7 linked regions of the Cricetulus griseus genome follow. The protein of the gene in region 1 purifies or fractionates together with the protein of each later gene. This does not show direct contact. Links are inferred from orthologs where the notes say so. Each region holds a gene or a part of one and is shown in the gene's direction. Other genes may lie near its edges. The genes, in order: Dhx9, Ago2, Nop56, Hnrnpa2b1, Hnrnpab, Hnrnpa1 and Ssrp1.

Evidence for each region.
Region 2: the proteins of Dhx9 (region 1) and Ago2 purify together in Homo sapiens (affinity purification with western blotting; 5 studies listed by BioGRID and IntAct, with this or other methods). This does not show direct contact. The link is inferred for Cricetulus griseus from reciprocal best matches to the Homo sapiens genes DHX9 and AGO2.
Region 3: the proteins of Dhx9 (region 1) and Nop56 purify together in Homo sapiens (affinity purification with mass spectrometry; 3 studies listed by BioGRID and IntAct, with this or other methods). This does not show direct contact. The link is inferred for Cricetulus griseus from reciprocal best matches to the Homo sapiens genes DHX9 and NOP56.
Region 4: the proteins of Dhx9 (region 1) and Hnrnpa2b1 purify together in Homo sapiens (affinity purification with mass spectrometry; 4 studies listed by BioGRID and IntAct, with this or other methods). This does not show direct contact. The link is inferred for Cricetulus griseus from reciprocal best matches to the Homo sapiens genes DHX9 and HNRNPA2B1.
Region 5: the proteins of Dhx9 (region 1) and Hnrnpab purify together in Homo sapiens (affinity purification with mass spectrometry; 3 studies listed by BioGRID and IntAct, with this or other methods). This does not show direct contact. The link is inferred for Cricetulus griseus from reciprocal best matches to the Homo sapiens genes DHX9 and HNRNPAB.
Region 6: the proteins of Dhx9 (region 1) and Hnrnpa1 purify together in Homo sapiens (affinity purification with mass spectrometry; 7 studies listed by BioGRID and IntAct, with this or other methods). This does not show direct contact. The link is inferred for Cricetulus griseus from reciprocal best matches to the Homo sapiens genes DHX9 and HNRNPA1.
Region 7: the proteins of Dhx9 (region 1) and Ssrp1 fractionate together in Homo sapiens (co-fractionation; 3 studies listed by BioGRID and IntAct, with this or other methods). This does not show direct contact. The link is inferred for Cricetulus griseus from reciprocal best matches to the Homo sapiens genes DHX9 and SSRP1.

What each region holds. Positions count from the first base shown.
Region 1 is NC_048598.1:38,201,283-38,204,782, forward strand, and holds part of Dhx9 (ATP-dependent RNA helicase A), read left to right. Parts: intron 1-1,599; coding exon 1,600-1,756; intron 1,757-3,347; coding exon 3,348-3,448; intron 3,449-3,500. UniProt on the Homo sapiens protein: Multifunctional ATP-dependent nucleic acid helicase that unwinds DNA and RNA in a 3' to 5' direction and that plays important roles in many processes, such as DNA replication, transcriptional activation, post-transcriptional RNA regulation, mRNA translation and RNA-mediated gene silencing.
Region 2 is NC_048595.1:370,847,700-370,851,639, reverse strand, and holds the start of Ago2 (protein argonaute-2), read left to right. Parts: upstream 1-1,140; 5' UTR 1,141-1,155; coding exon 1,156-1,180; intron 1,181-3,940.
Region 3 is NC_048599.1:48,334,196-48,338,481, reverse strand, and holds the start of Nop56 (nucleolar protein 56), read left to right. Parts: upstream 1-1,486; 5' UTR 1,487-1,609; coding exon 1,610-1,612; intron 1,613-1,771; coding exon 1,772-1,861; intron 1,862-2,182; coding exon 2,183-2,297; intron 2,298-2,448; exon of another isoform or gene 2,449-2,519; intron 2,520-2,596; coding exon 2,597-2,758; intron 2,759-2,932; coding exon 2,933-3,131; intron 3,132-3,254; exon of another isoform or gene 3,255-3,388; intron 3,389-3,462; coding exon 3,463-3,650; intron 3,651-3,733; coding exon 3,734-3,885; intron 3,886-4,057; coding exon 4,058-4,158; intron 4,159-4,220; exon of another isoform or gene 4,221-4,286. UniProt on the Homo sapiens protein: Involved in the early to middle stages of 60S ribosomal subunit biogenesis. Required for the biogenesis of box C/D snoRNAs such U3, U8 and U14 snoRNAs. Part of the small subunit (SSU) processome, first precursor of the small eukaryotic ribosomal subunit.
Region 4 is NC_048601.1:89,870,355-89,873,779, forward strand, and holds part of Hnrnpa2b1 (heterogeneous nuclear ribonucleoproteins A2/B1), read left to right. Parts: coding exon 1-47; intron 48-505; coding exon 506-652; intron 653-848; coding exon 849-1,059; intron 1,060-1,343; coding exon 1,344-1,445; intron 1,446-1,546; coding exon 1,547-1,627; intron 1,628-2,165; coding exon 2,166-2,228; intron 2,229-2,923; coding exon 2,924-3,043; intron 3,044-3,262; coding exon 3,263-3,385; intron 3,386-3,425. UniProt on the Homo sapiens protein: Heterogeneous nuclear ribonucleoprotein (hnRNP) that associates with nascent pre-mRNAs, packaging them into hnRNP particles.
Region 5 is NC_048600.1:65,881,110-65,885,343, reverse strand, and holds the start of Hnrnpab (heterogeneous nuclear ribonucleoprotein A/B), read left to right. Parts: upstream 1-1,434; 5' UTR 1,435-1,629; intron 1,630-1,710; 5' UTR 1,711-1,733; coding exon 1,734-1,957; intron 1,958-2,697; coding exon 2,698-2,866; intron 2,867-3,655; coding exon 3,656-3,814; intron 3,815-3,977; coding exon 3,978-4,109; intron 4,110-4,234. UniProt on the Homo sapiens protein: Binds single-stranded RNA. Has a high affinity for G-rich and U-rich regions of hnRNA. Also binds to APOB mRNA transcripts around the RNA editing site.
Region 6 is NC_048595.1:399,611,948-399,615,920, forward strand, and holds the start of Hnrnpa1 (heterogeneous nuclear ribonucleoprotein A1), read left to right. Parts: upstream 1-1,173; 5' UTR 1,174-1,316; coding exon 1,317-1,331; intron 1,332-1,884; coding exon 1,885-2,001; intron 2,002-2,236; coding exon 2,237-2,383; intron 2,384-2,527; coding exon 2,528-2,738; intron 2,739-3,137; coding exon 3,138-3,230; intron 3,231-3,317; coding exon 3,318-3,410; intron 3,411-3,565; coding exon 3,566-3,640; intron 3,641-3,842; coding exon 3,843-3,973. UniProt on the Homo sapiens protein: Involved in the packaging of pre-mRNA into hnRNP particles, transport of poly(A) mRNA from the nucleus to the cytoplasm and modulation of splice site selection.
Region 7 is NC_048599.1:90,490,868-90,494,367, reverse strand, and holds part of Ssrp1 (FACT complex subunit SSRP1), read left to right. Parts: intron 1-1,257; coding exon 1,258-1,387; intron 1,388-2,340; coding exon 2,341-2,511; intron 2,512-2,630; coding exon 2,631-2,719; intron 2,720-3,226; coding exon 3,227-3,413; intron 3,414-3,500. UniProt on the Homo sapiens protein: Component of the FACT complex, a general chromatin factor that acts to reorganize nucleosomes. The FACT complex is involved in multiple processes that require DNA as a template such as mRNA elongation, DNA replication and DNA repair.

The sequences.
Region 1 (3,500 bases):
TGTATGTGATACTGTGCTTTTGGCAAAATGTTGGTGGGTATTGGTAGGTTATTTCAGATGCTAAAAATCATCATGGGAAACAGGAAAATGAAAATTTTATTTCTCACCTTTGCCTTGGGTGCTTGGCAAGTCAGTATAGTTTTATTATACAATTGTAGGAATTGAAGTTTGATATTGAAATACACAATTTTTAAAGATCCTATTGATACAAGAAAAAGTGTGTCCACATAGTTTGGTCATTCAAACTATCCCAAGTTGCTATTGGAATCTAGGAGTTACTCTTGGTTTTCTTTTTAAAACAGGGTCCTCAACATAGATTGGCCTCTGATTTTGAACAGTCCTGTTGCCTTAGCTTCCCTAGTCATTTATTAAAAGTATGAACAAGTACACCCAGATGTTTTAGTAGAGACTTAACTATAGTGTTGACATACTAGTGTTAAAGAGTTAAAATTAATGTCTGGAATAATACCATGGATAGTTATTCTACTTTAAAGGTGTTAAACCTCATCAGATAGGCAGTATATCATACAATAAGAAATATAGGATGAATACTTTGAAGGAGAATCCTGTATCTTTTACATGGAAAACTATACCCAGATTAGAATAAACATTGTTCTAGATGAAAACCTAAACGAGTTTAATGTCTAATAAAAAGACATGCAAGGCGTGAACATAGCATCAAAAAAGAAGTAGATAATTTTCATAAAGAAAAGACTAAATGTCATAGATACCAAATCTCTAAAGGGATTGGTCTTTTAAGTTCTGACAAATTGGTGGGAGTGTTTTTGCCTTAACATAACTTGTTTTGTTGGTTTTTCAAGACAGAATTTGTATGGCCTTGGCTATCTTTGAACTCTCTCTGTAGACCAGGATATGCATACCTATATAGCACTGTTAGAAGTATATGTGTCTTAATGTTGCTGGATATCAGCATTTAGCTAAATAGCCATTCCTAGCATTTCAGTTACTGACTTGGTTGTTTGTGGGAGCTATTTCATTCACTGACTCCATACCCACCCCTAGGATACCTCTGTTCAAATTCCTTTCCTCTAGAGTCTTTTGAGATAGGCATGACATAAAAAGTATGGTATATATACAAAGCCTACATAGGGAGGACCCATAAATATAATGGTGGGTGATATGGCAGGCAATTTAAACATTATAAAACTAAGTTGTGGCTGTTACTTTATTTGAACTGATTTTTACCATGTTTCTAGTGAAAGTTGTGCATTTTAAACTTTACCTAAAGGTTTTTTTTTCCCCTCTTAAGCATGCAAGTACACATACAGAAACAGGAAAAAGCTGGTCAGTTGCTGGAAGCCCTAAGTTTGGTTTCCCAGCAGTATATAACACTAGGGATGGTAGTACATGCTTATAATCCTAGGCTTTGGAATTGGGAGAAAGAGGAATCAAGTCTAAGGTCTATAAGGTATAGTGAAGTCAATGCTATACTAAGATCCTTAACCACCCTATCTCATTAAAAATTCACTGTAATCTTAAACTGGTGTGTGAAACAATTTTCACTAATGTCTTATGACTATTAGAAATCTTAAAGGTGTATTTTGCTACCCCTTACAATTATTGTTCTTATTTCAATAGACTGACTTCCTTCTGGTAGTACTTCGTGATGTGGTTCTGGCTTATCCTGAAGTCCGAATTGTTCTTATGTCTGCAACTATTGATACCACCATGTTCTGTGAATATTTCTTTAATTGCCCCATCATTGAAGTTTATGGAAGGACTTTCCCAGTTCAAGGTAAATTATGTGGATATGATGGGAAGGAAGCTATGCATTTTCTTAATTTTGGCGATCACAGTGATAGTTTAAAAGACTGAAAACATGCCAGTATTGCCTCACAACCATCTGCAACCCCAGGGGATCCTCTGTGGATTTCCTAGGATACCATATGAATACAGGCTTAAAAAACAGGCCATTGATTTCTATGCTTTTGATAAAACTTTGACTATTATAAGAACATCTTGATTTTATTGAAGTAGCATTGCACAGCCCAATTGAGGAAATTAAATTTGCTAAGAGAGTCGACAATATTGTGAAATGTATTTGTGTGAGATGAATAGCCATGCTATGCTACATTGTTTTAATTAAAAAATAAATGGTGGGCCCAGCACCCATCTAAGCCAAATACTGTGACATAATCTTATTGTTTCTCAGGCTATGGGTTTCAAAGTTCTAATAATTGATGTACTTCAATACTGAAGAACTTTATAAAGAGATTAGTAGATAGTAGAGGGTAGGAATTAAGTTTCTTACAGATTATACTGTTGTTTTGGGTTAGTCTATGATCAACATGGTAAGCATGGAAGCAGGCATGGCATTGGGACAGCAGCTGAGTTGATGATTTAAAATTTTGATTAATCGGCCAAGGGTGGTGCCTCACGCCTTTAATCCCAGCACTCGGGAGGCAGAGGCAGGTGGATCTCTGAGTTCAAGGACAGCCTCCAAAGCTACAGAGAAACTTGATCAAAAATTTTGATCAACCTAGAATATATGAATTTTATTGAAATAACTTATTGCACAGTCCAGGTAAGGAAACGCAACTAACCCTAAGAGACTTAACAGTGTGATGAAATCAATAGCTGCCATGCCACTAAATTTTTTTTAATCTCTCCTAATCTGGGCAAAAGGCAGAGATGGGCACAGTTTGAGCAGAAAGCTAATGATGGTACTAGATTAAGTTTAATGTTTAAATTACAAATATACACTGAATAGAAAAGTGGCAATTACAGATTTCATGCAGAAACCTTATAAATAGTATGTGTACGTGGATTTCCTTGCCAATAAAATTTGACTACTACTCAGAGTGGACTTGATAGTAATATTTGTTCCTAAAGAGTGGACTTCTAAGTGGCAGGGGAGTACAACTTAATAGTGAATAAAATTGGTGGACATTAATTTATGTACCTTTGGTTTGCAGTCTTGGGTGGTGGCTTTATGGTTGAAGATACAGAATAGAGATTATAGAGTCACTTCTTGGTGTTTTAGAATATTAGGCACAGCATTGATTAGTGATCTTCAGTCTTTGCATTAACATCCTCCTGGGAGAGGATGATGGTATACACAGATTCCATGAAAGTTTGGTTTTAAAAAGTTGTATAAAGGGGAAACCCCAGCTGTCTTTGTAAGAATTATCTCAAATCTTGCAGAGTTTGATGGAATCATAATGTACTTTCTGTTGTTGAAATTTAACTGTAGGAATTTCTTATACTTGTGAAGCCTCAAGTTGATGAGGATGAAAGTAGTTTCAACTGTGGATTAGCAAATGAATTTGCAGTTGTGACATTTTATAAATTATCACGTACTTAACTAATGTGACTGTCCCTGACAGAATATTTTCTGGAGGACTGCATTCAGATGACCCAATTCATTCCTCCTCCAAAGGACAAGAAGAAGAAAGATAAAGAAGAGGATGGTGGTGAAGATGATGATGTAAGTCGATTCCTCAGCACATCTACAGGAATGAGGAATGTTCATTGTGAGA
Region 2 (3,940 bases), on another chromosome or scaffold:
AATTTCTTCAATGAGACGCAACCATATTTCCAAATGTAGGAGGATGGAAGGCCATTGTATCTGAATTCTAGAAACGTTACAAAGAGTTTTGCGGCTCCCCAGCTTGAAGGGAAGTAAATACTTAGTAAATTAACATTAAAAATAGAATTCACAGTGGGTTATTATCCCCCTTTTACACGTGTGAAGCTGATAGCTGGAGGTGGGGGGGCAAGGTTCAGAACTTGACAGGTTTGGGTTGTTCCCCCACTCCCTTCCAAAAGGGTTAATGGTTTAGCATATGTAAATTCTCTACCCAACCGGAAACTTCCTATTAAAGTGGGTTATAGGTGGGGTCCCCCACCCAAGGTTTTTAAGCTGTCTGGCTGTACTCCGGCTTTTATTGCCCAGGAGGATTTGCTACAAAATAACCTCTATGACAGTGAAAAATGAGTGTAGAGTTGCCAATCAGGATTGGGATTTTTGAGCATATACTGTGGCCCTGCTCCCTGGATTCTCCCCCAACTCCCAGTTGTGTGGGAGGGTACCACTGCAGCTTGGCGGGCTCTGCTGCCAGCGGCTGGAATGCATACAGCATGGTGGCTGATGAGCATTTGTGGGAAATATCTCCCCCCCCCCCAGCCTGTGTAGTTATTTAAATAAGGTGTTGCTTGTAAAAGCTTTGATTTACACATTCTTAAGAAGCAACATTTTGTAACTGAGTTTCTTTGTCAACACCATTGGGTTTATTCTTTGCCGTTCAAGAGACTGGGCTGCCAGGATGACAAAAATGTTTCTTTTTTTTTAAGCTATATGAATTGTTATTGTAGAAAATGTAACAGGATTTTTAAAAAGTTTCTACCTTGAAGTAATTTTACATGAAAGCAGGGTGAAAGCAGATTTGGTTTGTGCCTGTCCATTCCTCCTCCTCCTGCAGTTATAGGTGTTTGGGCGGTGGCTTTCCAGCTGCCTCTTCCCCACTGACATCCTCAAGCATGCTCCAGATCAGCCAGTTCACCCTGACATGCTTGTGTGTACAGAATACAGGGAATTTTTGTTTGTTTGTTTGTTTGTTTGTTTTGCCCCTTCTCTTTCAGAGACAGGGTGGGCTGTATAGCCCGAGCTGGTCTCAAGCTCATTCTCCTGCCTCTACTCCTGGAGACATGGGATTACAGGCTTATGTCACCACAAAGAGCTGGTGCAGGTATGTATGAACACAGCCCATTGCCATCGTTATACCAGGTGCTATCACTTCTCTTGGCTTCAGAAACATGATTACACTTGGATTATTTTTTAAATTTTGTTTTTATTTGTATGATTAGTGTTTACCTACATGCATGGATATGTACCACATACATGCCTGGTGGCCCCAGAGACCAGAAGGGGCATCAGGAAACGAGTCACAAACATTTGTGAATGTGGATCCTGGGAACTGAACCTGGGTCCTGCAAGAGCAACAAGTGCTCTGAACTGCTGAGCCATCTCTCCAGACCCTACAACTGATATTAGAATATGGAGTTATGAAAGAATGTGTAAATTTGGGTTTCTGTCATCTAAATCTTTCTTGGTTGTATTTTGGTTTTTGAAACATGGTACCCAGGCTGGCTTTGAACTCATTTTCCCTTGTGGGACATCCCCAGATGTGTGCCATTACATCAGCAGTGTTTTGCCAAAGCCTTGAAAAGTAGGCCTCTTCCACCTTTGTCTGCATTTCCAACTCCAGATGCCTACATCCTCTTCCTTTATCTGCTCCTGACCCAGCACCCTGCAGCTTCACTCTACCAGCATCACTATCTCACGGGCAGTGAGGCTACGCTGGCCCAGCTCCAGCCTGCACCATCCTTTTCACCCTGGCAGGTTAAATAAAGTGAAGCTCTTGTGGTGAAATGGCGTCAAGCTACAACTTAATTTCCCACTTTCACCTCTAGAGCTGAAGAACCTGAAATCCCTATTTATACCTTTTTTTTTTTTTTTTTTCCTCTTTGAGACCAAACAACTGTGCCTTTCCATCAGTTTTTCAGTAGAGCTGTGCAGGGTTCATCATCTAACCTGGGAGCTTCCTCCAGTCAAGTGTGGTATTTGGACAGCCGGCAGACCTGGTGGGCCATACCTAAGTCAGGCCTGAGGCTCAGGAGCAGCACCAGGGCTGAGTGTGTCCACTTGCTTCACACCCAGTGCATCTGGAGTCCTCCTGATGCCTGAAGGTACACATGTGGTGTCCCTGAGATGGTATACCAAAATGTGTTGCTGCAGCCCCAAGCAGGGGGCCCACCGGGTGTGTGAAGCAGCCAGACCCTCTGCTGTCTGCCAAGAACACAGTGCCTCTGGCTCTTGGACACTGGACCAGCATCCGGGAACTCTATTCTTGGTCTTCCCTAGTGTCAGCAGGGGCATTGGATAGATGAACATAGTCATCCACTTCAGTCCTGTCCTCCTAGGCATGTGTGGGGAGTTTGGCATCTGTATGGGTCTCAGTTTCCCTGTCTGGAGCATGTGAGATATTTCCCAGGTTGCTCACACCCTCTGGACATTGTGACCTGGATTCTTTTTCTTTCTGGTGTGGCACAGGTTGAAGGGGAGCCATGTGTATGTGTCCCCAGTCATCTTGAGAACTTGCTGGTAGGATGATTGGTTACCCAGAGTAGCCAGACAGGGCCCATTAGAACCAGGTTCAAGATGAGCCTGCAGAGGTAGGCTTCCATTGCTGCCTATATACATTACAAGTGGTGGGCTCTGTTCCATATGCCAACACAGATATGAGTTCCAGTCAGGTACTTAGACATGGTTAAGACTGAATGGAATCTTATGGAGATGCAAAGAGCATTAAAAGCATCCACCTCCCATGTTTACAGTGTGTCTGTACAGGTGCTATTGGTTCCTTGTCCCTACTCCTCCTGACTTCCAGGGAGCTCACTTGAAGCTTAGAGTCCTTGGAAGCATCTTGAATAGCTCACTGGAGAGCACAAGGCCAGGGGAGCTCGGGAGGGATGCTGAGGAGGGCAGCAAGGGAGTGAGGAGTTGACTTAGGGATTAGGTAGCTGGATGGTGCCAGTGGTTTAAAGAGAGGATTTGGGGCCTTGGAGATATTGACCAGGCCAACACTGTAGGAGTCAGAGAGGAGGAAGAGACCCCGGGCAGGAACTGCTTCCAAATCTTTGTGGTGCCAGGTGGGCAAGCTCATTCTGGAAAAACACCAGATAGTTCTTCATGTGTGTGTTTGGGCAGGAACTGGCTCCAGGGCTAGCCATGGGGACCACCCTGTCAGCTCTCTTAGCTTCCTTTACCTAGGAGAGGGTGGTGATGGATTGTGGGTTGTATTAGATATTTTTCTTTTGTTGTGATAAAACACTATGATCAAGGCAACTTATAGAAGGAAGTTTATTTGGCACTGATCATTCCAGGGGGTCAGAGTCCATCATGGCAAGGAGGCTTGGCAGCAGAAGCAGGAAACTGAGAGCTCACATCTTTTCAGACATTTACAAGCATGAAGCACAGCAAAATGGAAATGGCAGAGTCTTCAAGCCTTCGAAGTCTGCCTCTTGTGATGTACTTCCTCCAAGGCCATGCCTCCTGAGCTAACTAGGGATCAACTGTTCAAATGCCCAAAACTAGGGACATTTTTCATTCAAACCACCACAAGGGTGAACGGAGTTGAGCCAGTGCCTCATTGTCTCTAGGGGAGACTCATCTGTGTGAATGGTCCAGCTAGACAGGCATTGGGTTTGTCTGTACCTTCATCCTGACAACCACTGTTATGAAACATTGAGTAAATTATTTCATGGCCATGGCATGAAGAGAGGCCAGATGTCACTGAGTTTTAGGGCTATTAGGTTTGGGGTGCTGAAGGGAACAATTTGAAGCTGGGGGTGAGTGCTGGAGGTAGGTGTGAGAAAGCCAGGAGAAGTGGATAAGGCTCTGGCCCCGGACAATCTGGGATTCCATAGCTGGCGCTCAGTCAGCCCTC
Region 3 (4,286 bases), on another chromosome or scaffold:
TCAGGTACCATACCCATTACCAGATGTTCAGTAGGAGATTGTTACAGAGATGAATGAATCTCTAGTCTTTATCTGAAGAAACAGAATCTCAAAGTTAGGTGATTAATTTCAGGTCACACTGGAAGTCACAAAGCTTGGGCTTTCACCCGCAGGGTACACATACATGGCCCTTCTGGTCACTTCTAGGGTTCCATGCAGCTGAAGTCAGTGGCAAGGGGTAGGACACAAGTCTATTTTGGCAATGAGAGTTGGAGGGCTGGGCCTCTGTCCATTTCCATATAGTTTCAGGGCTTCTACCTCTCCATGGGACTCATCAGCCCATTTCTTATTCGACGAAGTCAACAAGCATGCAAAGGGCTAAGGACCAGAAATGACAAGACCTAATCCTCCTGTGTCTGTGGAGACACTGGACCTACTGGAAGAGCCATGTTTACAGCCCCTGTGCTTGAATTTTGTGAAGTCACTGAGTTAAGAAAACAAAACAGACCTAACTTATAAATGTGCTTTCTGATAGAATTTCCAAAATCCCCCTAGGCGTTGTAGAAGAGTAAGCAGAGGGTCTGCAATGGATTCTCTATAGATGGCACAGGGCTGGGAGGCAAGAGGATCAGAAGTTCAAAGGTCATTCTCTGCTACAGAGCCAATTGAAAGACAGCCCTGGAAAGAAAGAGATAAAGAGGGAAGGAGGAAGGGAAAAGAAAGGAAGCGGGGAGAGAGAAAGGAAGAGCGACGGGAGATAAGGGTGAGGAAATGCGAGGTCGAAAGAAAATAAAGAGTGAATGGAAGGGAGGAAATCTTGGCATTGTTATTAACCCATTAAGGCACGGAGTATCTAAAATATAACTACGTTTGGGACTTGTAACTCTAACATTACTTAAAAAAGGTTTTTTCTTTCTTTAAAGAAAAAGTAATTTTAAACTAGCCACTTCGGTGTGCCTAAAAGCAGCCCTGGAGAGCAGGAAGCTGCTCCTTGATAGATAAGGGCCTAACGGGCGATGACAAACACGTGGCTCCGCGCAGAGCTGGCGCAGAGCTGTGAAACAGGGCAAGGAACAGACCTAAACCACCCTTCCTATGCACGCTACTGCTCGCACCAGTACTTTCTGAGCAATAAAATTTACGAGGAAGAGGCAGGCGGCGAGGAGCCGCCATTTTTGCAGCGTCTGAGGCGGAGTCGCAGGCGGCAGGCAAGGACCCGGACTGTCACCAGAGGCCTCGGGCCAGCGGAAAGCCTGCGACGCTCGTCATGGAGTGTCTCGTCCCCTCACCGAGTTCTGCCGCTCGGCCCACGGTGACAAAAGCACGAGAGACGGACAAGGGCGGTCTCCAGAGCACTATGCAGCCTCAGGCTAGAACGGACGCCATTTGCCCCGGTCTCCGCACCGGCTCGCGCAGCCGCAGAGGCTCGGATGGGCCGGCCCGCTCGCGCCCGCTGCAGTCTAGCGCGCCCGGCGGACGATACCACACCCGCGAACCCCTCCGAAGACATGAAAATGGTTCCGTCCTCAGCCTCTGATTGGCCAAGGAGGGGAGGGCGTGGTCTCCGCAGTCTAGTTCCGCGCGCCAGAGCGCGCTAGCCGCATTGCGAGCTGGGCACGGAGCAGGCGCCATGGTGAGGAGTGGTTGTGGGTTATTAGTGACGAGAAGGCCTCGGTGCGGGTCTGGGTGTGCGTTCGGATTCGGGTTCGGAGTATGGGCCAGGACCTGCTCTAAGAGCGGCCGGCGGGACTCGGTAGCTTGACTGATGGCCGCGCGCCGGTTCCCGTTTCAGGTTGTGCTGCACGTGCTGTTCGAGCATGCGGTCGGCTACGCGCTGTTGGCCCTGAAGGAAGTGGAGGAAATCAGCCTGCTGCTACCGCAGGTGGGTGGGATCGGTGGGCTCGGGGTGCTGCAATGCAGCCCCTAAGGCCGCCGAACCCCATCATGCACCGCGTGTTCCCACGTGGCCGACCGCACCGGCAGAGGGGGGGGTGAAAGCTCAGGAACGAGATTTTTAATTAATGCGTATCTGTATAATCTCCTTAGAGAGTGGAGATAAACACCTCAAATCTTGAGAATTAAAGTAGAATCGGGATGTGGAGCTTAGGCACCAGTGTTCCCATGAATATTACAGCTGGTTCCTGGTTTACTGCGCTGTGGAGGCCAAATTCAAAGAAAGCCCATTCATTCCTCCTCTCCACAGGTGGAGGAGTGTGTACTTAACCTTGGCAAATTCCACAATGTCGTTCGTCTGGTCGCCTTCTGTCCGTTTTCTTCATCCCAGGTTGCCTTGGAAAATGCCAATGCCGTGTCTGAAGGTGAGTTAGTCGCTCAGCGACGAGTGATTCTAAGCGACGGTGTTCTAAGATGATTTTGCTGAGCACGTGATGCATGCTAGGTATTGGGACCTACAAGATGACAGTAGGAGCTCACTGCTTCACAGTTGTGCCACCGTGGTGAAGCCAGGCTTTGCACTGATGACTTGAAAAATCTGTCAATCCACTGAGTGTGATCACTGATGTCTCCATGTTTCTGAGCAATGCCTGGAGGGGTGGGTGTTCTTTCGTGATCCGATGTGGAGGTGGAGTCTTACAGGTAAAGTGTTCTTTGTCCCAAGGTGTTGTTCATGAGGACCTCCGTCTGCTCCTGGAGACATACCTGCCGTCTAAAAAAAAGAAAGTATTGCTGGGGGTTGGAGACCCCAAGATTGGTGCTGCAATACAAGAGGAGTTGGGGTACAACTGCCAGACTGGAGGTGTGATAGCTGAGATCCTTCGAGGTAAGATAGTCCTCCTGTTCCGAAGCTGCTAAGATTTTATGTGTTAGTGCTTGCACTTACTGCGTGCACCATGTAAGTGCAGTGCCCACAGAGGCCAGAAGAGGGAGACAAGAGGTAGATGGTTATCTTGGCTATTCCGTGGCCACGTGTTTTATTCATAGTCCCGCCTTTTAGGAGTTCGTCTGCACTTCCATAATCTGGTGAAGGGTCTAACAGACCTGTCTGCGTGTAAAGCCCAGCTAGGGTTGGGACACAGCTATTCTCGGGCCAAAGTGAAATTTAATGTGAACCGGGTGGACAACATGATCATCCAGTCCATAAGCCTTCTGGACCAACTGGATAAAGATATCAATACCTTCTCAATGCGTGTCAGGTAAGATGCAGTGCATGGGCTACCAAACACTGGGCTCTTTGGCCTGTGGTTTAGCTATTATAAACTTAACAAGGGTCAAGCAGGGTTGACAATTCCTGCGGGTATAATCATGGGCTAAAGCCAGGCCTCCTTGTGCTTACCACAGGCTGTGTTCTTAACACTGACTGTATAGAAAGAGGAGGCAGAGTAAACCTACCCCATGTACACCTCAGCCTAGGCCATTGTGCCTGGTCTGAATTGTGAATGGGGAGACATGGATTTGAGGGAGACTTGGGATCTGGTTTATTTGAGGTTTGGCAAACTGGGTAAGGGAATGATTGTAACTCTGCAGGGAGTGGTATGGGTACCACTTTCCAGAGCTGGTGAAGATCATCAATGACAATGCCACCTACTGTCGCCTGGCTCAATTCATTGGAAACCGCAGGGAATTGAATGAGGAAAAGCTGGAGAAGCTGGAAGAGTTGACTATGGATGGGGCCAAGGCTAAGGCCATTTTGGATGCCTCTCGGTCCTCCATGGGTCAGTGCAGAGCCTGGCAACCTGCATAAGGTACGAGACTCCTTGAGTATTTGGTCCCCCTGTTCACACTAGGTGTTTCCTAGGCATGGACATATCTGCTATCGACTTGATAAACATCGAGAGCTTCTCCAGTCGTGTGGTGTCTTTGTCAGAGTATCGCCAGAGCCTACACACTTACCTTCGCTCCAAGATGAGCCAAGTAGCCCCCAGCCTGTCAGCCTTAATTGGGGAAGCGGTGCGTTATGGGACTACAAATGGGGGAGTAAAAATGTTAGCATACTGTACCGCTATACTTCTGGCTACCATGTTGTCCCTAGTTGTTGCATGGTGGGGAGGAAAATAGGGGTGAAACTGATAAGTCAAGTTCCCCCCTACTCACCTGGCTTCTTCCTTGGATCTTTCTCCAGGTAGGTGCACGTCTCATTGCTCATGCTGGCAGCCTCACCAACCTGGCCAAGTACCCAGCATCCACAGTACAGATCCTTGGGGCTGAAAAGGCCCTGTTCAGGTACCAGTGAGGGTGCCTGCCCATGTCAGGTGCTACTTCTGGTGCCCGCTGCTTTGTTTGGGGATTACAGTGATGGCTGACCAGGACTCCCTGACCTATACAGGCCTCTGCTATGGGGGTGATGGCCA
Region 4 (3,425 bases), on another chromosome or scaffold:
GTTTGAGAAACTACTATGAGCAATGGGGAAAGCTCACAGACTGTGTGGTACGTTAAATGTGAAAGTCTGACTGTGGGTTTTAGTATGGTTGAGTTTAAGCATAAATTTTGGGCTGAGCCAGCCTGCAGTGCCACATGCCTTTAGTCCCAGCCCTTAGAGTCTGGCGGATCTCTGAGTTTGAGACCAGACTGGTCTATAAGAGCTAGTTCCAGGACAGCCTCCAAAGACACAGAGAAGCCCCTGTCTCCCAAAAATCCAAAAAGGATAATTTTCTTGTTGGGATGAATCATACAGGAAATTAGTATATAAAAAAGGACATTGGGGCGGGCTCTCAAACAGGGTGTCTCTGTAACCAACCACATTAGCCTCGAACTCTTCTCTCCAAATTCTGAGATTAAAGGCGTGTGCTACCACACCTGGCCAAAAAAAAAAAAAAAATAAAAAAGACCAATTGGTTTGTTCATAACTACCTTGAAATTAATGCTGACATCTTTTGGTTTTAAAGGTTATGAGAGATCCTGCAAGCAAAAGATCAAGGGGATTTGGATTTGTAACATTCTCATCCATGGCTGAGGTAGATGCTGCCATGGCTGCAAGGCCTCATTCCATTGATGGCAGAGTAGTTGAGCCAAAACGTGCTGTAGCAAGAGAGGTGAGCAAAATATGTTCAGTGGTTTTCTTGGGTTGTACTAGCTTTTTGTACATGACTTTCTAGGACTTAACTTCAAATCTATTGCTATATCTGAAGGAATTTGTCCTAAGACTGAAGTATAAGTTTGTGCTTTCAAGGTGGTTTAATTTGTGTATTTGTTTTTTCTGTCAGATAACTTTGTCACTATCTGTTGTAGGAGTCTGGAAAACCAGGAGCCCATGTGACTGTGAAGAAACTGTTTGTCGGTGGAATTAAAGAGGATACTGAGGAACACCACCTTAGAGATTACTTTGAAGAATATGGGAAAATTGATACTATTGAAATAATTACTGATAGGCAGTCTGGGAAGAAAAGAGGCTTTGGCTTTGTTACTTTTGATGACCATGATCCTGTGGATAAAATTGTATGTAAGTGTCTAGGCATAAGAGTGGTTGTATATAAAATGTTGGGTGTATTAACAGCCTGTTAAAACATTCAGGATTGCACTGGGTGTTGGTGGCACACACCTTTAATCCCAGCACTCAGGAGGCAGAGGCAGGCGGATATGTGTGAGTTCCAGGCCAACCTGGTCTCTAGAGCCAGTGCCAGGATAGGCTCCAAAGCTACACAGAGAAACCCTGTCTGGAAAAACCAAAAGAAAAATTGCTTATTAGAATGTATTTATGATTCAGTTTTTTTGTTTTTGTTTCAGTGCAAAAATATCACACCATCAATGGTCACAATGCAGAAGTTAGAAAGGCATTGTCTAGACAAGAAATGCAAGAAGTCCAAAGTTCTAGGAGTGGACGAGGAGGTAAGAAATCATACATTTTTAGATTTGTGTATTTTATATGTATATATACATTTGATGGGTTTTGTCTGAATGCTTGCTACTAATCAAAACATATATCCTAGGAAACTTTGGTTTTGGTGATTCTCGTGGTGGCGGCGGCAATTTTGGACCAGGACCAGGAAGCAACTTCAGGGGGGGTTCTGGTGAGTGTTTTTAAAGGGCATGATTTTTGAATGGAATGGTTTTATTCGGATTTAGGATGTCCTGTGTTGTGTGTTGGTAAAACATGCTGAGCATGTATGGTGCTATTAGCCTAATGTTGAATCCCTAACACCTTAATTTCAGTATGTGGGAACAAGAGGCAGGAGGATTAGAAGTTAAGTGTCTTCCTCAGCCATGCACACACGTTGAATTCAATATAAACACTAGACTGTTCATAAGTCTTTGTTTCTCCCCAAAAAACTGTCAAAACTGGTAGATAATTTATTTCTTCTTAGGTTATAGTTTGTGTGAATGTTGTGACTTAGAAGTTTTGATGCACTTTAGACCTTTATATTAAGAAAATAATTTTTCTTATTAACAATTGGGGTTTTTAAAAAATGAGTTGCTTTGGTAGTAAGATGCAGTTAACATACCCCCCCCCCCATGAATAAACTGGTTAAGATTTTCAGCCACCCTCATTCTGAGATACTAATAGAAAATATTGAGAAAAATAAGTGTAACTTTACTTTTTCTAAACAGATGGATATGGAAGTGGACGTGGATTTGGGGATGGCTATAATGGGTATGGAGGAGGACCTGGAGGTTAGTTTCATTGAGAGTTTAATATTTATTTAATATATTTACTAGTATACTTTGTGCTTTATTAAATATGTGTATCACTTATTTTGCCTGTCCGTACTTGGGTGTAATTGTTATTTGGCTTTTAAAAATGCACTCTTGAGTTTTGTAGCTAAGCAAAGCATGCCTGTAGCTAGGTGGGGATTGCACTTTGTAGAAAAGCTAAAATGTTGGGATTTTGAGGTCTGTGTGTTATGGGGGAATATCAAGAGTACAGGTGGATCCCCTTAGGATAACATTTTACCTAAGGGACTTATCCATAGCCTATAAATTTTGTTTTTTTAGATGATCTCTATGTAGACCAAGTTGATATCAAACTTAAGAGATCAGCTTGCCAGAGTTTAAATCTTGCCTGAATGCTGTCCCCATATTTCTTCCTCAAACTGCAGAGCATAAGAATTTCAAATATTTTCTGGTTCAAAGTATATAGTAATGGTATTACAGGTTACCTTACGTTGTTTTAAATGGTGGTTTGTGACCCTGAAACATTTGCTCAAGAATAGTTATTTTACCTTTGAGTAAATAGACTAGAATAGACTAAAATAATTAACCTTATAAAAAAAGTTGTATTTTGAAAAACCAGAAATGAGTGTAATAAAGACAATTCAAATGGAATTGTAAAAATTTAAGCAATTACTTAAAGGCTTATTTTATAATAGGTGGCAATTTTGGAGGTAGCCCTGGTTATGGAGGAGGAAGAGGAGGATATGGTGGTGGAGGACCTGGATATGGCAACCAGGGTGGGGGCTACGGAGGTGGTTATGACAACTATGGAGGAGGTAATAAATTCATCTACAACCTTTATGTTGGAATTTGGATTAGAATTAATGACACTTATTTTTATTGTCACCTAGATGCTTTAAATTGTAGGATTATAGATAGGTACCATATACTTTGATTTTTGTAGAAAATTTATCCTAAAAATTAAACCTCAGTTATGGTTTAGTTCTTATAATAGTTCAGAGGTCTATTAGCTGATACTCTTAATTCTTTCATAGGAAATTATGGAAGTGGAAATTACAATGATTTTGGAAATTATAACCAGCAACCTTCTAACTATGGCCCAATGAAGAGTGGAAACTTTGGTGGTAGCAGGAACATGGGAGGACCATATGGTGGAGGTAATAAGACTTGAAATACATCTAGGCAATTGAGGTATAG
Region 5 (4,234 bases), on another chromosome or scaffold:
AGAGAAACCCTGTCTCGAAAAACAAAACAAAACAAGAGCTAGTTCCAGGACAGCCTCCAAAGCCACAGAGAAACCCTGCCTCGACTGCCCCACTCTACCCCCACTCCAAAAAAAAAAAAAAAAAGAAAAATGAAAGGAGAGAACCAGGAAGTTTTTTGACTATTACTTTTTTATTTTCATTTTTTATTTATTTATTTATTTTTTTTTGAGATAGGATTTCTCTTGTAGTCTTCGCTGTCCTGGAATTTACTCCGTAGACCAGGCTGGCTTCAAACTCACAGAAATCCATTTGTCTCTGCCTTCCAAGTTCTGGGATTAAAAGCATGCGCCGTCACAGCCTGTTTAAGATTGACACTTTTAATTGATGTCTACATGCAGGCCCTAGCACGTGTGTGCTTACACTCAAACATTTCTGTGTTATGTACATATACACAGAAATCATGGGATAACTCAGGCCTTTAAAGCCTTGTGGTTAAATCGTAAAAGAGAAGTAGTCCTCTTTAACATCACCTCATATGTGATTTAACAGGAAATTTTTCCTGAAAACAAGTTGTTAGACTAGGCAGGGTGGAACATGTCTGTAATCATGCCCTGGGTACAGAAAAAGACTTTCTTTCTTTCTTTCTTTCTTTCTTTCTTTCTTTCTTTCTTTCTTTCTTTCTTTCTTTCTTTCTTAAAAAGTCATGTAGAATAAATGAAATTAAGCCAGGCATGGTGGTGATGCTGCACAATCCTAGCACTGAGCGGGTGAAAAAGGAGTGTTTGTCTGGAGTTAAGGCCAGTCTGGGCTTCGAGATCCTGTCTCAAAAAACAAAACAAAACCCAATCAACGTTAAAAAGAAATAAATTAAAAGCAAAACTAAACATGAATGCGATGTTAAGTATCTATCGGTATTAAGCTGAAACTGGAAACACCACACTCCAACGGTCACGGCGTCAGACCTCCACGGACCGCCCCAGCCAGCATCGCTGGAAGAGAGGGCAAGAGCACCGGCATCTCGGCACACCGCGGCTTAGGAGAAGGCCGCTTTGAGGGCCTCAGATGACCCTAGCACCCCATTATCTTGGAAACCAAGATTCGGCTACTTCCTCCAGGCGACCTTGGGTTTAGGGCTTCCTCCGGGGCATTTATCCCCTTTTGGGAGGCCGGGATTGTTAGTGTGGGATGGGGTAAGCGGAGGGGACGACAGACTGTCGTGTGCGCCCCCCAGACAAAAAGGGACACTTGAGGCGCCCGCTCGATAACCGGAACCGTACGCAGTTCTGACTCGCGCGCGTTCTAAAATGAGGACAAAGCCCGCCCGGATCTAGAGCGCGCGCGCCGCATCAGCCAATAAAATGCCACGACAGTGGTGAGTGGCGGTTGGCTTCAGCCAATCAGAATATGTTTTGTTACGAGGTGCTCCCCGGCTCCGGCATTATAAAGAGCTCCACGAGTTGGCATTGTCAGGCGGTGGCACCGCGCGGGACGGAGCTGAGGTCTCATCTTTGGCCTGTGTACGCCGGCAGTCGAGCCGAGCGACACCGTCGGTGGACGCGGACGAGCTCCCGGGGGTGCGGGTGTCAGCGCGGCCAAGCCCGCGGCGCCTTCCGCGGCGAGTAGGGCCTCGCGGCGTCATCGGCGGCGAGGTGAGCCGGCCGGGCCGCGGGCGGTGGGCGGGAGCTCGGGGAGTGCCGCGGGGCCTGACGTGCCGTCGCCGCTCGTTGCAGGAGCCGCTGCGGCCTGGCCGACCATGTCGGACGCGGCTGAGGAGCAGCCCATGGAGACGACGGGCGCCACTGAGAACGGACACGAGGCCGCCCCCGAAGGCGAGGCCCCGGTCGAGCCCGGCGCCGGGGCACCGGCCCCCGCAGCCCCGGCCGCGTCTGGGGGCGGGACCACGGCGACCCCGAGCGGGAACCAGAACGGCGCCGAGGGCGATCAGATCAACGCCAGCAAGAACGAGGAGGACGCGGGGTAGGTGCGGCCGCGGGCCGCTGGGCCGGTGCCTTTGTTCCGGGGCAGCCTTTTGTTGGCGCCACGCGGCGGGGGGAGGGGCGGGCGGCCCGCCGAGCGGTGCCTGGCGCGCTCGCCGGCGGGCCCAGGCGCGGTTAGGCGCATTGGAGTTTGCAGGAGTTTGCGGGGTCGACTTTGCGGTCGCCCTGGGCTGCTCGCGGGGTGCTTAGACTGTAGCGGGCCTCGAGGCGGGAGGCCCCGGAAGAGGAAAAGCGGCCGACCTCGAATCGGGCCGCGAGCGCTGCGTCTGGGCTGCGTGGGCGGAGTTGGCGCGCGGCGGGCCCGGCCTAGCCTGCCTCGGGTCGAGGGGCGGAGTCACGGCCTGAACCCTGGGGCGGTTTCGGCCCCAGGAAACCCAGAGTTCCTCGGGATCAGTTCTTGGGAGGCGGGGAAGAACGGAACGGGAGCTCGTTTCCATTCTGGAGTACAAACACGCTAATTTAAACTTGTGACGGCTTATGGTTCACGTTTGTGACCAGGTTGTCCTTTTTCCACACCGTGTGGCTATACGATCTCCATACAGTTCCATTTGAGTCGAGATGCCAGAGTAACACAGGAGGGATCAACTTGAAAAGGGTCATCTCGGGCTGGCCTGTGGCACCGTGGCTTCACAAGTGCTTGCTAGGAAAGTGTATCCGGGTCAGACTTTTGTAAAAATCACATCCTGCTTCTAAGATTTGTGGTCGTTGTTTTCCTTTCAGAAAAATGTTCGTTGGTGGTCTGAGTTGGGATACCAGCAAAAAAGACTTAAAGGATTATTTTACTAAGTTTGGAGAGGTCGTGGACTGTACAATTAAAATGGATCCCAACACTGGACGATCAAGAGGGTTTGGGTTTATCCTATTCAAAGATTCTTCCAGTGTAGAGAAGGTAAGCTGGGTGTTAGCAGCAGTCTCTATTAGGATTCTAAGTCCTAAGGAACTCGGGCACTGCAGTATTTGATAGGGACAAAGAGCTTAAATTCCTGTTTTGAGGGGTAGTACAGATTAAATGGGTTATATGTGAGGGAATGATTCTGGGGGATTACTGTTCGTACTGTTTTAAAAGCTTACTGCATATCCTGTAGGAGGGCAGTGAGCTGGGCAGTAACTAGAGTCCTGCCTTCAGCCCTCCCTTAATACTTTTTTGTTTTTGGTTTCTCGAGACAGGATTTCTGTGTAACAGCCTTGACTGTCCTGGAACTCACTGAGAGATTCCTCTGCCTCAGCCTCCCAAGTGCTGGGATTAAGGGTGTGTGCCATCACCACCCGGCTGCTTATTACCTTTTTTATATGCTTATTTATGGGCTTGGTGTTAAATATTTTACTGTGATTGCTGTGAGGATAGTTTTTTTTCTTAATACAATTTTAATGGAGATGGGACCCCAATTCCTAAATCTCAGAAATGGTGAAAATGCATGCATTTATACAGGGTGGAGAGGATTTCAGCACTAGATTATCTAGTGTTCTTTGTCACTGCTTTAATGAAAGGTCTTAAGTAGGGAACTACTGGTTAGGAGGAGTGTAGAGCCTGGGTAGAGGCTAGTGGGGGTGGCTTATAGGTATTCAGGTGGTCCTCTGTATGGGAGGTTAGGAAGTCAATTTGGTTTAGCCCCAGAGAGAATTAAGCCCTCTTTGTATTTGTGTTGGATTGAACCTAACATGTTTCTGTTTTACACAGGTCTTAGACCAGAAGGAACACAGGCTGGACGGTCGTGTTATTGACCCTAAAAAGGCGATGGCTATGAAGAAGGATCCTGTGAAGAAAATCTTTGTGGGAGGTCTGAACCCTGAAGCCACAGAGGAAAAGATCAGAGAATACTTCGGCCAGTTTGGGGAGGTGAATATGGCTTCTGTTTCTTTCTGCTCTTCTTTGACTTTGCCTGGCCAGATTATTATATTAGTAGAGTTTTCTCATCTTTTCAGTGGTCTTTTCTTGGCAGGTTTCTATGTTCTTGGGTACACCTAAGAGGTTTACACCTAAGCTTTGTTTGTTTTTACAGATTGAAGCCATTGAGCTTCCAATAGATCCCAAGTTGAACAAAAGACGGGGTTTTGTTTTTATTACATATAAAGAGGAAGACCCTGTGAAGAAAGTTCTGGAGAAAAAGTTCCATACTGTCAGCGGAAGCAAGGTAAGGTGTCAGAACTGTTTTACTGGTTTTTGGTTCTTGGAGGTGTAGATTAGCTACCTATAGACCCTTTGTTAGTAAAACCTTACTGTTTCTCTATAGTAGTACACAATGACATTAAAACAGTT
Region 6 (3,973 bases), on another chromosome or scaffold:
ATTGCCTCCACTATAGGAGTCATTGTAGATAAAATATGCACCCCTACAATTCCCTCTGAAGGCAAGATGCCTCTCTTTCAAGGAATCTCTCCATTTACTTGATCCAGGTTTGGTCCATGGATTTAACCTCCCGACTCCCGCGCTCCCCACTGGAGTCCAGCCTCTGCCGCTTGGAGAAGGCCGGCCTATCGCGCGCTTGGAGCTCATTGGCTCTGAGAGACGCCACTCGGGCGGGAAAAGCCCGCCTCCCGCATTCGGATGGCCCAAGGGCCGATCCGTAGGCAGCTATAGGAAGACCCAATTGGCCTATACACTCGTCAGTCAAACGCTCTGGTAGCGCAGCCCAAAAGGACCTGGCAGAATTAAAACATCCCGCCCCCGTTCTCCCATTGGCTGGCCCGACCCATCGCGGCCCCTTCACTGTCGCTCCCCCAAGTCCAGCGGGGCCCATTCATTTCGTACAATAACGAGTCCAATTGGAGCGGGTCCAGGAACTCCCACGGTTAGTCAAGACTCTGCCACTTACCCGGGATCTACAGTGACCACTCACACTAAGGCCTGCGCGGTTCCTCTGTGGTAAAGCTGCACCACAAGCCACCCGCTACCGCCGCCTTCTGCGCAACGCCAGCCGCCCGCCAAAACGGATCCTTTCCCTGCGCCTGCGCAACCAATCCTGGGCCCAGACCTTTTCTCCGCCCAAAACGCCTGCGCAAAGCAGGACGCAGCTCCCGCCAGTACGCAGGCGCCTTAGGTTCACCGCCCTCTCCCGCCCGCCGCCCGCCATTTCACGTGTTCAGTAGGCGAGCGGAACTCCTTAGTGCGCCGGCGTAAACTCGCCATTTTTATTACACATGCGCTCTCCGGGCAGTGGCTGCAAAAGTGGTAGCGAACTACTTTTCCTAACGTGTCGTGTTTTGCCAAGTGAGGTTATAATGTTCGGACGCTGGGAAGTTATGCAAGGCGTTTAAAGACATGGGTACATTCAAATATAAACCACTGGTTAGCTAGTCAATCAACCTGGTTAAAAAAAAAATCCCCCAGAGCGTCGATGACTCCGAAGGGCGGAGACTGCGTAGAACGCCCCAGCAGATGCCATCTCTTAGCAGGGCGGATCCACAGACCTAGAGTGGGCGGGAACAATTCCAGATCTCCAATCAGAGTAAGGCCAGGGCGGAGTCTACCAATGCCGAAAGCGAGGAGGCGGGATAAAAAGGCGAGCCGAAGGTAGGCTGGCGGATACGTTCGTTGACTTACTCCTTTCTGCCTGTTGACGCGGCGGAGGAAGCATCGCTGAAGGCTCTCGTTTCCCTGCCGTCATGTCTAAGTCGGAGGTGAGTTGTGCGCGCTCTGCGGCTTCGTTTCCTTCCATACGCAATGAACAGGACGGGATGCGACCTATTTTTCTGGCTGGCACCCATGCTTTCGGTGTTTGATCGGTCGTTGCCGAGGCCTGCTCACAAAGTGCAGGTCGCCATTTTGTCCTCGTAGTCGCCATGAGGCTGCCGTCCGCTAACCGCTAGTTTCCACACTCGGCTCCTAGTGGCAGAATTCACAGATATGCGACCTTGGGGGTTGTGGCTCTTTTTATTTTCTTTCTTGGCTTTGCCTAACTAACGTCTGCTAAGGCTTCAGTAAGTTTTAATGGCGATTGACCAGTCCAGCCCGTGTCTTTTGTTGCGCGTGCGTATAGAGTAGGGACGCATGCGCTGCATGCTAGTCCTCCCCCCCACGCCCCAACAGCACCTCCTGGCCCAGAGAGGAGCACGTGGTCTTGTGCTGTAATAAAGAACAATAAAAAAGTGCGGCCTATGTTGATGCGTGGAGTTGATCCATTCGCTCAAGTTCCAGCCCCTTAGCTAACGGCTCTCCTTTGATCCGATTCAGTCACCCAAGGAGCCGGAACAGCTGCGGAAGCTCTTCATTGGAGGGCTGAGCTTCGAAACAACCGACGAGAGTCTGAGAAGCCATTTTGAGCAATGGGGAACACTCACCGACTGTGTGGTAAGATTAGAAGGAACAAAAGGCGGGGCTGGTTTAATTTTATTGCTTTAATCATGCCGCACTTCTTACCCAGATGCTTTGTGAAGGTAATTAATGGTATAATTTTAAAAGGATCTTTGTTTGGGGGCCTTATGCTTGAGTCTAAATGGAGTTTTATGCTGGACATGTTCAGAGTTGGAATGGCCTCAGGTCCTGATATCAGGCAATATGTTGATTGAATTAACTCTATAAACAGGTAATGAGAGATCCAAATACGAAGCGATCCAGGGGCTTTGGTTTTGTCACGTACGCTACTGTGGAAGAAGTAGATGCCGCTATGAATGCAAGGCCACACAAGGTGGATGGCAGAGTTGTGGAACCTAAGAGAGCTGTTTCAAGAGAAGTGAGTGTTATTATGCTAATAGTTGGGTTCTCTTTTATCTAGACGCCAGATAGACCCCTAGAGTGCTGGGATTAAAGGCGTGGGCCACCACAGCTGCCAATCATTTGAAATGTACTAATAATGACTGCATCATTTTCCTTTTAGGATTCTCAAAGACCAGGGGCCCACTTAACTGTGAAAAAGATCTTTGTTGGTGGTATTAAAGAGGACACTGAAGAACATCACCTTCGTGATTATTTTGAGCAGTATGGGAAGATTGAAGTGATTGAAATCATGACGGACAGAGGCAGTGGGAAAAAAAGAGGGTTTGCTTTTGTCACCTTTGATGACCATGACTCTGTGGACAAGATTGTTAGTAAGTGTCAGATAATTAGATTTCTCTCCTCCTCCTCCCTCCCCCACAAACTGGGAATATTCTGTAGCTTTGGGTCCTTTCCTGGAAATGAGACCCGCCCTCAAACTCAGATGGCCTGTCTCTGCCTCCTGAATGCTGGGATTTATGGGGTGTTCCACCCCCCAGCCAGATTACATTTTTCTTTTGGGTGGATTCGAGACAGGGTTTCTCTGGCTTTAAAGGCTGTCCTGGAACTAGCTCATGTAGACCAGGCTGGTCTGAAGCTCAGAGATCTGCCTGCCTCTGCCTCCTGAGTGCTGGGATTAAAGGCGTGGGCCACCAACACCCATCGTGCTCAGATTTCTTAATGACTGGGACTCAGTGTGTTTAAAGCCCTAAAGTTAACTTTTTTTTTTTAAGTTCAGAAATACCATACTGTGAATGGCCACAACTGTGAAGTGAGAAAAGCCCTGTCAAAGCAAGAGATGGCCAGTGCTTCATCCAGCCAAAGAGGTATCTCTTGCTTAGTTAGAACTTGCAGAGGGTAGTTGGGTTGTTGCTGCAAGTTGGTCTAATGTAATGATCCAAACATCTCTTAAGGTCGAAGTGGTTCCGGAAACTTTGGTGGTGGTCGTGGAGGTGGTTTTGGCGGCAATGACAACTTTGGTCGAGGGGGAAACTTCAGTGGTCGAGGTGTGTACCTTTTGGATTTCTTAATTGCTTTTGGAACGATGGATAACTGCTAGTCTTTGTTTATAGCATTTAGATTTTACCCAAAACATAAGTTTTCGTTACACAGAGATTAGCATTTGCTTCATTCATATACCTAAAGCTCTGGTTTCTTACAGGTGGCTTCGGTGGTAGCCGTGGTGGTGGTGGATATGGTGGCAGTGGGGATGGCTATAATGGATTTGGTAATGACGGTAAGTTTCTTAAGGAATCCGTAAGTAAAATTTCTAGCAACCTATACCTTTAGACTAGGCTAGTAGACACTAAACCTAGTGCATGACAAAATCAACCAGCCCCGTAATACGCATGCTGTGAGCAGGCCATTAGTCATTACACTTGCATAGATTTTTATTGTTAAATACTTTTGTCTTATTGAGAAGGCTTGTATTCTTGTAGGTGGTTATGGAGGAGGCGGCCCTGGTTACTCTGGAGGAAGCAGAGGCTATGGAAGTGGTGGACAGGGTTATGGAAACCAGGGCAGTGGCTATGGCGGGAGTGGCAGCTATGACAGCTATAACAACGGAGGA
Region 7 (3,500 bases), on another chromosome or scaffold:
CATGCTGGGAGTCCTCACTTGCCAGTGACAGTATAACAGTAGTACCCCTGTGCTATATCAGTCAAGACTTCTGATTGTCCTTTTCAGAAAGTAAGAAGGCTCACACTGGCTCCACAGGGTTAAGTGTGTGTTTTTTTTTTTTGTTTGTTTTAGTTTATGTAACTGGAGAGTTCAGGAATGTAGTTGACCATGGGTACTACTGGATCTCAGTGCTCAGAAGTTGTGAGGAATCTGCTTCTGATTTTACTATTCTTAGAAAGCTTGCTCTATGTCCCTCAGGTCTAGGAAGGTTTAATGTGGATAGCTTAACACCCAGAAGCACCTCTTGGTGAACAGCACAGTGGATAGTGTTGTCTCTGGTCAACTGCCTTCCTGACCTTGAGATAATATATTTGTGGCTCTAATGGAGCAGAACCACCTTAGACTCTGCAGTTAGAATGAGCTCCTTTCCTACAGAAAACTGGGATTGTTGATGTAGAAAGGTGGGGCAGCAAAATCAAAACCAAACTGACCGTCTTTCAGAAGTTCACTAGTTGTGCTGGCAAGGGTTAATAAGGCACAGATGCTTATTACTTGCCTCGGGAGCCTTTCAGTAGTAGGCAAGTACCAGCAGCTGTGTGTCCAGAGGAGATGCGCTTTATTGGACGGGAGAGTCAGACACAGGGACTGGCTTCAGTTGAAACTTGGTTTCCTCCCTTTCAGTCTTTCTTTAGCAGAAGATTGTAGTATAAACTAAGGTGATTTAACCAAAGGGAGTGATGAAGTAGACTTGGTATGCTGCAGGCTAGCAGGAGACAGTATTGAAGGGCAGGAGTGGAATAGAACCTACCTGGCTTAGAGCAGAAGAGCCCACTGAAACATTGGTTTTTTATTGATTGAATAAACAAATAAGCCTTTGTGGTGGCTGGGTCTGGAGAAGGGATATGAAATCATTTTAGTGAAAGGCAGGAAGCTGGGGTGGCAATTAGTGGTGGAGCCTGTCCTTGGGACTTACTCCCTTGGCCCTTTCTGGGCAGATGTCTAGATTCCTTTTACTACTTTCTCAAGACATCTGGCTGGGCAGTGGTAGCACAAGCATTTAATCCCAGCACTTGGAGGCAGAGGCAGGCAGATCTTTGTGAGTTCGAGGCCAGGCTGGTCTACAGGGCGAGTTCCAATTCTGTGTAGCCAGAGCTACACAGAGAAAACCTATCTCAAAATGAAAGAAAAGATCTGTATCCTGCCTTCCTTTCCTGAGTCTAAGCCTTACTCTGGCAGGTTTGACAGCAATGCCTCTGCCAGCTCCTCCAGTAATGAGGGGGACAGTGACCGAGAAGAGAAGAAGCGGAAACAGCTCAAAAGGGCCAAGATGGCCAAGGATCGCAAGAGCCGCAAGAAGTCTTCAGAGGTACAGACTCACCTCTAGATTGGGAGAGTGAGTGTGTGCGTCTCCATTTTCTGTTTTCTTTCTCCTCTCCACTCGCAGCAGGTCCTGTTGGTTGTGCTGCCTTTTGGGTGAGTGTGGCTTTGGTAGATACCGTCTAGGTTTTCTTTTTGGCCCTGAGATACTGTTTCTAGAAGATCTGGGTTTTTTGTTTGTTTGTCCAATTTTAATATTTTTTGACAATTTTAACATACATTCAATGTACTATGATTTTATTCATACCCCCTTTCCCTCTGTTCCCCTCCTTCAACTCCTGAACTAGTCCATCTTTTGCTTTCATGTCTTGTCTTTTTGGTTTGTATCTGATGAGTTTAATTAGGATTGCTTGTATAGCATGTGTAAGACCTTACCAGTGGCTGCCCCGCTGAAGAAAATGACTCATCTTCTCCTAGCAACTGCATGTTAACTGCATGTAGCACCTTAGGAAGGGTGAGCCCTCGTGGTTGCCTCTCCTATCTATGATAGAATATCAGGACCCAATCTTGTATTGGCCTTGGGCAAGTATCCATAGCTGTTGACAGTCACAGCAGCCATGCTGTATCTGGATGGCAGTGTTTCATAGTACTCCTCCCTTTTCTCTGGCTCTTGCATTCTTCCTGCCCACCTCTTTAGCTGTATTCCCTGGGCCTTGGTGATAGAGATATTCCATTTAGGACTGAGCACTCATTTGTAACTTGTTCTTAGTACCATGACAGATGTGAGTCTCTGCATCTGAATTAGGAGACATCCTGCCTCTGCCCAGGGCATCTCTTGGAGAAGGAAAAAGCGGCTAGTCCTGCCCTTAGAGCTGTTCCTGGGTACCCAGTTCCATCTAGTTCTCCCTGCATTTTCCCCCTCCCCAGATGGTTTCCTTGGGGAAACTTAGGATAGTTGAGAAATATGGATGGCTGATGGCATTTGGTTTCTTTCTCATGTAGGCGAAGAAGGGTAAAGATCCAAATGCCCCTAAGAGGCCTATGTCTGCATACATGTTGTGGCTTAATGCCAGCCGAGAGAAGATCAAGTCAGACCATCCTGGCATCAGCATCACAGATCTTTCTAAGAAGGCAGGCGAGATCTGGAAGGGAATGTCCAAAGAGAAGAAAGAGGTGAGTAACAGTGGAAAGGAGTGGTGGTGAGAAGGGCTTTGTGGGGGTGCAGGGTGTGTCACTCATCCATCTGTAGATACAGATTTGCTTGCATCAGTCTAAAGGACTGTTTGTGACAGGAGTGGGACCGAAAGGCTGAGGATGCCAGGAGGGAATATGAAAAAGCCATGAAAGAATATGAAGGAGGAAGAGGTGAATCTTCTAAAAGGTGAGTGTTAGGAACAAAATGGTCCCAATAACTGCTCTTTTTAGCAGATTTTTTTTTCCAGGTTAGAATTGAGAATTGTGGTACATATTTTTGACAGCAGTAAAATAGTGCTTATGCCATTGCCGAGTATAGGTGTTGTATGGAGTTAGGAGATAAATATGGCCCATTTTCCTCGATCAGTTTTATATTCAAATAAATAATGGGAGGGTTTAGAAAAAAGTATTTTGTGAAGCTTAATTCAAAATCCATATGAACTTTTAAACAAAACAAAAGTGCCAGGTAAGTTTTGCATAAGTTGCTTCAGGCCGTGACCCTGGCTCTTCAGGTACTCACGTATGATCCTCTCCTTTGGTGTACTTTGGGCTACAGAGCTGACATTATATTTGCCAGGGTGAGAATAATATGGCCATTACTGGAGACGTCCTCATTAAAGCCAGGAGAAATGTGGCCTATCTGATAATATGGGAAGACTAATGGCCTGGCGTCTTTTCCATTTTCTTAATATAGGGACAAGTCTAAGAAGAAAAAGAAAGTAAAAGCAAAGATGGAAAAAAAATCCACTCCCTCTAGGAGTTCATCATCCAAGTCTTCATCAAGGCAGCTAAGTGAGAGCTTCAAGAGCAAAGAATTTGTGTCCAGTGATGAGAGCTCTTCAGGAGAGAACAAGAGCAAAAAGAAGAGGAGGCGGAGCGAGGTGGGGCAGGAAGTCTGGGCGGTTGAGGGGCATTTGAGTCTGGGGTGGGTAAGACAGGGTTGTGGTTTGTCTGTAAGAGTAATGAGT